Oryzias latipes: one gene and its partner. The protein of the gene in region 1 purifies or fractionates together with the protein of each later gene. This does not show direct contact. Links are inferred from orthologs where the notes say so. Each region holds a gene or a part of one and is shown on either strand. Other genes may lie near its edges.

Evidence for each region. The genes of interacting proteins can lie anywhere in the genome.
Region 2: the proteins of tsen15 (region 1) and tsen54 purify together in Homo sapiens (affinity purification with mass spectrometry; 4 studies listed by BioGRID and IntAct, counting the BioPlex papers as one, with this or other methods). This does not show direct contact. The link is inferred for Oryzias latipes from reciprocal best matches to the Homo sapiens genes TSEN15 and TSEN54.

The regions. Positions count from the first base shown.
Region 1 is NC_019875.2:13,673,628-13,677,781, reverse strand, and holds the start of tsen15 (tRNA-splicing endonuclease subunit Sen15), read left to right. Parts: upstream 1-1,345; 5' UTR 1,346-1,463; coding exon 1,464-1,523; intron 1,524-1,604; coding exon 1,605-1,686; intron 1,687-2,292; coding exon 2,293-2,428; intron 2,429-2,509; coding exon 2,510-2,713; intron 2,714-3,936; exon of another isoform or gene 3,937-4,154. UniProt on the Homo sapiens protein: Non-catalytic subunit of the tRNA-splicing endonuclease complex, a complex responsible for identification and cleavage of the splice sites in pre-tRNA. It cleaves pre-tRNA at the 5' and 3' splice sites to release the intron.
Region 2 is NC_019866.2:1,089,341-1,093,641, forward strand, and holds the start of tsen54 (tRNA-splicing endonuclease subunit Sen54), read left to right. Parts: upstream 1-1,491; 5' UTR 1,492-1,554; coding exon 1,555-1,607; intron 1,608-2,448; coding exon 2,449-2,607; intron 2,608-3,817; coding exon 3,818-3,881; intron 3,882-3,958; coding exon 3,959-4,042; intron 4,043-4,115; coding exon 4,116-4,214; intron 4,215-4,297; coding exon 4,298-4,301.

The DNA.
Region 1 (4,154 bases):
TTAAATCACAAATTGTAGCGTTTAGAATGAAATGGTTAAAAGATTGTATTTCCCAGCCTCATTCTATGTGGTATCATATCCCAAACAAACTCTTTGAGAAAGTCAGGGGACTGGAGTTTTTGTTGAAATGCGATTATAATCTATCAAAAATGCCAATGAAACCATCAAACTTTTACAAGCATGCCTTAGAATTTGGGAAGATGCTTTTCACTCATAACTTCTTCCCTCACAACACTGTTTTATGGAAAAACAGATTTATAACTGTAAACAAGAAATCCTTGTTTATGTCTGAATGGTATGATAATGGTGTGTGATTTGTCTATGACTTGATGCGCACTGATGGAAGGCTGTTATCATACAATGAGTTTGTAACTAAATACAAAATGAAGGATTCTAGTAACTGTTATAACAAAGTCTGTAAAGCAATTCCCACACCTTCACTCAATCTTATTCATAACATACTACAATACAATGCAACCAAACCACAATTTTTAGAGCGGAAAATTAATGATATTCCCCTAAAAGATAAAAAAAATGCCACAATAAATTAGTAACTCTTTTCTTTATACACAAAGTACCCACATCCACCTAAAATGAAAGAAACGCATTTTAAAATAATATCTAAAATTTACCCTGTTGGAGATTTTTTACATAAAAGATTTAAATTTCAATCGGAACCATGCATGTTCTGTTCATCTGAAACTGAAACGTTAGAATATCTCTTTTACAGTTGCAACCAGATAAAAATATGTTGGACTGATTTTCACAATTGGTTACACAAAGTTTTAATGATTCTCTTTTTTCCTTACCTGATGTTTTTTTCTGTACGGAAAATCTGGACCCGGGAATTTCTGATGTCATCAATGTTGTTATTATTCTATGCAAACATTTCATTAATTTATGGAAATGGTAAAATACATGTCCTTTGTTTAGTATTTTTTTGAATTATTTTTCTGAATATTAGAAGTGTCTTAAATGCATTCCAAACAAAAACAAGAAAACTCCAGTAATTTATCAAAATATAACAAAAGTATTGTTATTTTGAATTGTTTTTTGCCTTGCCTTTGCCTGTTTTTTGTTTTGTTTTTCTACATGCGCATTTATTGCGTTTGAGCGCCCTAACTTGGTTTGTATATGACCATTTATAGAAAAAACACACACACACACAGGGCTTAAACTATTATTGTTGTTTGGTCTTATATGTGTTTTTGATATTAACAATTGTTTCTTTATCGTGCTGCTGAATGTGAATTTCTACAAATTGAAAAACGTATAATAACGTTTATTGAAATAAAAAGGTCCTCCACGCCTCATTGGGGTGCGGAACATAAAGGAAGGAGCGTGTTCCCATCCGGTCGACATTTATTGTAGTACCCATTAAAAATTAAAGCTCAACCTTCCTAGCGAAAACGTGCGGTTATAGTAGTGCGCAAGTAGTTGTATTAAAGGATAAACACTGAAAGATGTCAGTACCTCCGGTGGAGAAAGCTCCACCCGCGAACTGGATCCTGCAGCACCCTGCGGTGAGCGGCCTGGAGCTTGGAGTAACGTGACCGTGAAGGTTCGCTGTGAGCGGAACTAACGGCGGCCTGCCTGTGTTTCAGTACCGGCAGATGGAGGCTCTGGAGCCCGCAGACAGCGCGCAGCTGCACGCTGCCTTTCTGGTGTGCATGGATCTGACTGAGGGTGATGTGATGAAGCCTGGATATGTTTCATTAAATATAAAGGGAGCTTAAATACGTACAAAGATAACAAAGTACAGAAGTGGCTATTAACAAGTTTTAATTTAAGTTTAAAATGCATTAGAATGACTGTGGATTTTGCTTGTATTCCTTCAAACATTTCTAAGTAGCTTCAATTCAAATTTTGAATGAAACCCTGTGATGTTTACAATGTTTTAAATAAGCTGATTTTTCTTCTGTAAAAAGTAATTTTGTATTTAGTTGTACATCTAATTGGTTCAAAAATCCCAAATCATGTTTGTAGATTAAAAAAAGTTAATTTTCATGTAATTTAAACCTTTTTTTTTATTCAGATTTTTTTCACATGTGTATACTTTATTTTTTTGTTACTTTTTTGAATTATTTTTCTGATTATTAATAATAATATATTAGTGTCTTAAATGCATTCCAAACAAAAACAAGAAAACTACAGTAATTTATCAAAATATATCAAAATTCAGTTAATTTTCATTTAATTTAAACTTTTTTTTATTCAGATTTTTAAAATCTGAATAAAATAAAATAAAGTAAAAGGTGTCAAACTATAAAAAGTGAATTTGGTTTCACATAGTGCGTCGCTGGAAGGAGGTGTCGTCCGTCAAAAGTCCGGAGCTGCGATTAATCTTGCTGGAAGGGAAGGAGAAGGATGGGGCCCCGGTTCACACTGTCCTCCCCCTGCCCGCTCATCAGTCCTTGAGCCACAGCAGGTGATGAGTCACCAAATGAGAGTTGGGACTTGAACCGTCGCTCACGGGTTTGTGACATGCAGCTGTTTGTCTCCTGAGCAGCATCTGCAGCGTACTGGACAGGGGCTTCCCCGTACTTTTGTGTGCCGTGGCATCGGACTCCACCCTGGTCTATCAGAGGCTGACGGATGGGCTGGTGACCCCGGAGCCCCCTGTGGGCCCCTTTCAGGATTTGGATCGACGGCAGCATCGCAAGAGGCGACAGCACAGCTTCCAGCAGCACAGTGAGAAGATGAGGGGTAAAAGGTGAAGAAGTTGTTTTTTACCTGACGGGCTACTGGCTGCCATCAACGTATGTTTTGAAACGGAGCTGATGGGTTCATCCTGGAGCAATGTGAATCATTCTAGGGGTACATATGTGGAAGCATTTCCACCGTGGACTGAAAGACCTACATCGATCCCTAAAATGGACACCGCAGACTTCTCTCCCACAGAGCTGCTATTTTATTCAGAGTAGTCAAAAACCAAAGTCATTTTGCCGTTTACCGATGTCAGCGAACGCATCTTCACCAGCCTGTTTGTGAAGCACGTCGATCACTTCTGTTGCCATGACAGTGTTTTTCCAGGATTCTGATGAGCAGAAAGCCAAAACTTTTGGAGTCCAGTGCCTGCGGTTCTGATGAGAAGATTCGTTTTTGCTGTTTGGAATTAAACTCCACTCTGATGTAAAAAAAAAAAAAAGTAAACAGTTTGTTTGACTTGAATACTGTCTCCCTAATTCTTTTAGTAGAAAACAAAACCGTATCCATAAAAAAGGAAAACGAAACCTGCAGACTTAAAAGATAAAGCTTTACAAAGCCCTGACTGGCAGCATTGATCAACCTCTCAGGCAGAAATGATCTAAACCAGCTGTGATCCGTAAATGCACACTTCCCTTCAGTTTTCCCTTTCTGTATTTGTTAATTATGAGGATGCAGATAAGAAAATAACTTTTTGATTCTCAGAGTGGACATCAAGGCCTCAATCGTGTATTTAAATTGCAGAACACCGATGGGGAAAAGGGAGCCAAAGGTTCTAAATCTTTTCTAAGTGCCTCAAAAACGTTGCTTTCCAGTCAAAGAAAAACCAAACTGTAGGTCTTAGTGATGATGGATGGGGCAGAGAAGGTTCTGCTGCAGTCTGGGCTTCTGTCAGTTAAAACCCCTCCATGGTTTGTAGAAAGCTGTGCAATCTGCACATGCACATCTGTCAGAGTTTATCAAGAAAGCTTGTGCAAAGTGTCCAAGAAAGAAACTGTTCTGCTCTTTCTCATATAAGGAAGGCTTTTATTTAGTCATACATGCCTGTAGACAAAATGGCTTTGTGTGTATATATATATATTTATATATATATATATATATATTTGGGTGGGGGCAGTTCAACAGCCTCACTAAACAACGCACATGTTTCAGAACATTTCTGAAAGGGATACGAGTCAAAATCATTCAAAAACTCTGACTTCTGTTTGAAGGAAAAACAACAGCGTCAGCCTGAGGGACAAAAACTGAAACTACTTTTATTCTTCTAGAAAACGGAGGCGGATCTACATTAAAACAGATTACAATAATGAGACACAGGCGGATGAAAGATGTCCAAATGTAGGAATTTGGAAAAACAAAAGCTATTAATAAAAAGCTTTTCATTGCTTTTTGCACAAATATGAATTGTATCCACTGAAGGAGCTCATTTTGATATCAAGTCCTGCCAC
Region 2 (4,301 bases), on another chromosome or scaffold:
GAAACTTGAATTTACTTTGAGAGCTCTGGTCTTTGTCAGTAAAGAGGCCGTTAGGACATCTGGGATGGAATCAGGTCTGCTGCCTTCCGATGGGACCTTTTAAAATGACAGTATCTATTATAAATGCAGTATCAGCAACTTTTTTTAAACCGTAAATAAACTAATTATCTCTTTTTGCACAGTCACCTCTACAGTACTTATCAATACAATATCGTCAATTGCTTATTAAATAAATGTATTAGAAATTATAGTAGGTATTTTCAATTAAGTAAAATATAATCAAATTATCCAACGTTTTTAAAACAAGGTATTGGCTTATAGGGGAAAATTACGACGGAGTATTAGTGCCACCAAAAAAAAAAAAAAAAAGCCACCAAAAAAAAGAAAGAAGTAAATTTACGAGTTTTTATCTCGTAAATTTAGGAGATAAAAAGTCGTAAATTTACGAGTTTTTATCTCGTAAATTTAGGCGATAAAAAGTCGTAAATTTATGAGAAAAAAACTCGTAATTTTAGGAGATTACAGTGGAAGTGAATATGCATAGCAGCAGGTGAACGCGTGCAGCAGCAAAGCAGACCGACTAAACTTTGTTGAACAGGTGAGCTGAATGTTTATTGATAACGTTCCAAATGTCTGGAAGCTTATTTGTTTGATTTACGATTCATTAAAGTTTTATTTATTGATGGTTGGTTTGCAGGATCTCTGCAGCCCGATGAAGCCATCGGGTGTCCCCGCAGTTGTCCGCTTGAATCCTTTCTTCCTCCACCAAAGACAAGATCTCTATGTCTGTGTGACGCTTCCGTCACACAAAAGGAGGAGCACTTTTTTTGGCATTTTCAATGTTCTAAAGCTAATATAGAAGACAATTTTCATTCCTCTTTATTGTTTTATGCTGAAACAGGACATTTCATCTGCAGGAGGAGGCGTATGTAACACTGTTTACTTCCGCATTGGTGTTCGGATGACAGCTTCATGATGTAATCAGACAGATGAACTTCAGAATATGTGAATGAAAAGGAGAATAAAAGCTGCAGCGATCATCTGCACCCAAACGTGTCTCTGAGCTCCTTATTTTACATATGAAACTCCGCTTTACTGACACTGAACCCCGGAAAGACGGCTACATTGACAATAATCTGATTTTGAGTCGCCAAAAGGTTCAGAATCTCTTTGTTTTAAACCTATAATAATACGGAAATGAAGCTTCACAAAAGGCTCCACATACTTAATCTTCAAGTTACGTTCCGATAAACGGACAACTTCGGTGTTTTTTCCTTAATCTACGACTTTTTTCTCGTAAATTTATGAGATAAAAAGTCGTAAATTTACGAGTTTTTAATCTCCTAAATTTACGACTTAAAATCTCATAATTTAACTTTTTTTTTTTTTTGTGGCCCTAATACTCCGTCGTAGAAAATAAAGAATTCATGTGTTTTTTTAATTGTCTTTTTTTTAGTTTTGTCGCCCTCTGCTGGTTATCTTTAGGTACTGGATGTTTATCAAACACGAGGCACTAAGACCCTGGGGAGGAGTGCGGCTGCGGCCGGAAGCAGGATGGCGGACAGAAAGATGGCCGCGCGCGAGGATTTCTACAACGAAGTTCTCAGGTTAGCAGAAGTCAAAGCAAGCGTCTCCGTTTTTGTTTTTATATATGTTTATTTTCCTTTAATTGCTGCGCTTCTCCACACTAAAATAACTTTGGTTTAATCTATGACTGTTTGTGAAAAGATTAACACTTAGATAAAAACCAATCCTTTCATCAAGAGTTTTAGGCATTTGCCTTATTTCAGCTGGTTTACACTGTTTCTTTAAATTATTATTGTTTCAAATTTATAAACTAGTTTTAACTACGTTTTACGTTATTCATAACTGTGAAATTGACAGGAGTTCTTTCTGAGTTTTCAAGTTTGTTTTAAAGATAAAAATCACCAATTTATGTACAATTAAGTTACATTCTATTCTATTGTAGAATAAAATATAAATGTTTCTTGTTCTTTGTCTTCAGTCTAATCAAATATATAAAAAAATAGATGTTAAAATAGTAAACATATTAAAAATAATACTACAACTAATAACAATAATACATAAATGAACGCATACACGTCCCAGCAGTACAATCAAAATAAATCAAATAAATTGTTAATAAGACTTATAACATGTGGACGAGTAAAAACTATAGCTTCACTAAAAAGATGAGTCTTAAGGTGTTTGTTAAAAACCTCCACAGAGGATGAAACCCTCCCGTCCTCAGGCGGCGAGGCCCGCGGCGCTGAAATGAGGCCTCGCCGTGGCGTGGGTTTAGTTCTGACCTTTTGACACGACATGCAGCACTAGAGGCTGAATCTGTTTCAGTCGTGGTTTTAACCCAGAATTCAAAACGTTTCAAGAGGTCGGACCGAAGATTTCTAGCTGAACTTGAATCTTGGACTCGTCTCTCGCCCTTTCCAGTCCCTCGGAGCTGTTTGCGGCCCGATCCCGCAGTCGGAAGATCCCGGTCCGAGGACAGAAGGACTTCTTCCCGGACGAGTCTGAGGAGCAGAGGCAGCGGCTGCAGCAGAGTCTGGACGAACACTGGAGCCTGGTCTCAGAGGAGAGGGTGGAGCGCCTGTGAGTGCACGCCACCTTCAAACGCATCGAAGGCGTCTGTTCCCACTGCAGCCCCCCCGGTACCGGCCCGTGAGACAGTGACTGGGCCACACAGAAAAAAAACACGGCCCAAAGGAAGCTTCACTTTGGAAAACTCGGTCACATGTCATACTTTCTGAAAGCGGCTGCTCTGAGTTGAAACCAGCAAAACTAACATGAAAGCAAACATACCTGGAAAGTTTCTTTACGCAGAGAAGATCCAGAGAGGAAACAGAAGAAGAGCCTATAACTTCAAAATAAAAGCTGCATTTAACAGACAAAAATATGGAGTCTTCATCCCTAACATGGAATCATTGGGACCATAATAATAATTCAATTCAATTCAATTTTATTTGTATAGCCCAAAATAACTACAACAGTCGTCTCGATGGGCTTCGAAGTAAAACATGAACTCAAAAGGATCACGAATGCAAAGAGTTCAATAGGAAAATACTAAAATGAACTAACAAACTGACTAAGCTATACTGGCATCCCTGCCCTTAGACCCCCCTTCGCGGTGAGGAAAAACTCCCAAAAAAACGGATTCCAGAAAAAACGAAGAAACCTCAGGGGTGCCCACATGAAGGAGGGATCCTCCCCCAGGACGGACAGGCGATTTACCAGAACTCATAGAGAAGAATTAACTTATCTAAATCTACAACTACATACTTTTAATAATAATGCAGAATATTCAGCCATCCGCTCTCTAATGTTACCGGGATGCTGATAATAAAGCTGCGTCCAGCTTGTTGATTGTTATTTTTAGAAAGCATCAGTTTTAGTGAACTTTATTTTCTTTTTGCCGTCACTCCTTAAGGGTCAGAGGTTGAAGTTGGCGTCTGAATCTTTAGCTTTAACCTTTAACCCCCAACTTTGTCAGTTATGGGTTCTTACATGTAGAAATAAAGTTGCAGCTGCGGGTGTTTTACAGAGAATGGAGATAAACTTTAACCACCAAAGTTCTACTGGAAGCTAAAAACAAAAATAAATAAAACCAAACTGGAGATCAGGCCTGTTCTGCCTCAGCGGCACCGATGGTCAGAGCTCCAGCGCCTCCCCAGCAGAAAATCTGTGGCGAAGATTCGCCTCCAATGTCGGTTTTCCACATTTATCCTTGAAACTGGGAGAGTTTTAGCATCAGGAACTGTGGTGCTGGCTTTGGTTCAGCGTCCCTCCTCTTGTCTGTCTGCAGAGGAAACCTGGTGAAAGGCGTGTGGTTGCCGTGCCGGCGGCTGGTGGAGCTGCAGTCTCCTGCCGTGAGTGCTCTCGCTCCGAAGCCCTTGTGCGGCCTTCCTCCCGCGCTCTGCCAGCCGCTCCTGTCTCGTCTTTGCAGGGAAAGTTCTGGCAGACGGCGGGCTTCTCCGCGGACGGAAAGCAGTACCTCCTCCCAGAAGAGGCTCTGTACCTGATGGAGTGTGTGAGTGGAAGCCGCCGGCTCAGGTGCACAGGTGAGGGAACGGGCGCCTGAACCGCTCTCTGTGTGTGAGCAGGGGAGCGTGCAGATCTTCCACGAGGACCTGCCCATCTCCATCCAGGACGGGTACGAGGCGTTCCTGTCTGCAGACACGGTGACCCTGCAGCAGTTTCAGGTGCTCCTCGGTGACCCGCTCCACCCTGCTCCACCCACCGGTGGTCTGCAGGTCCATCTAAGCGCTGTCCCGTCTGCCCACAGGTCT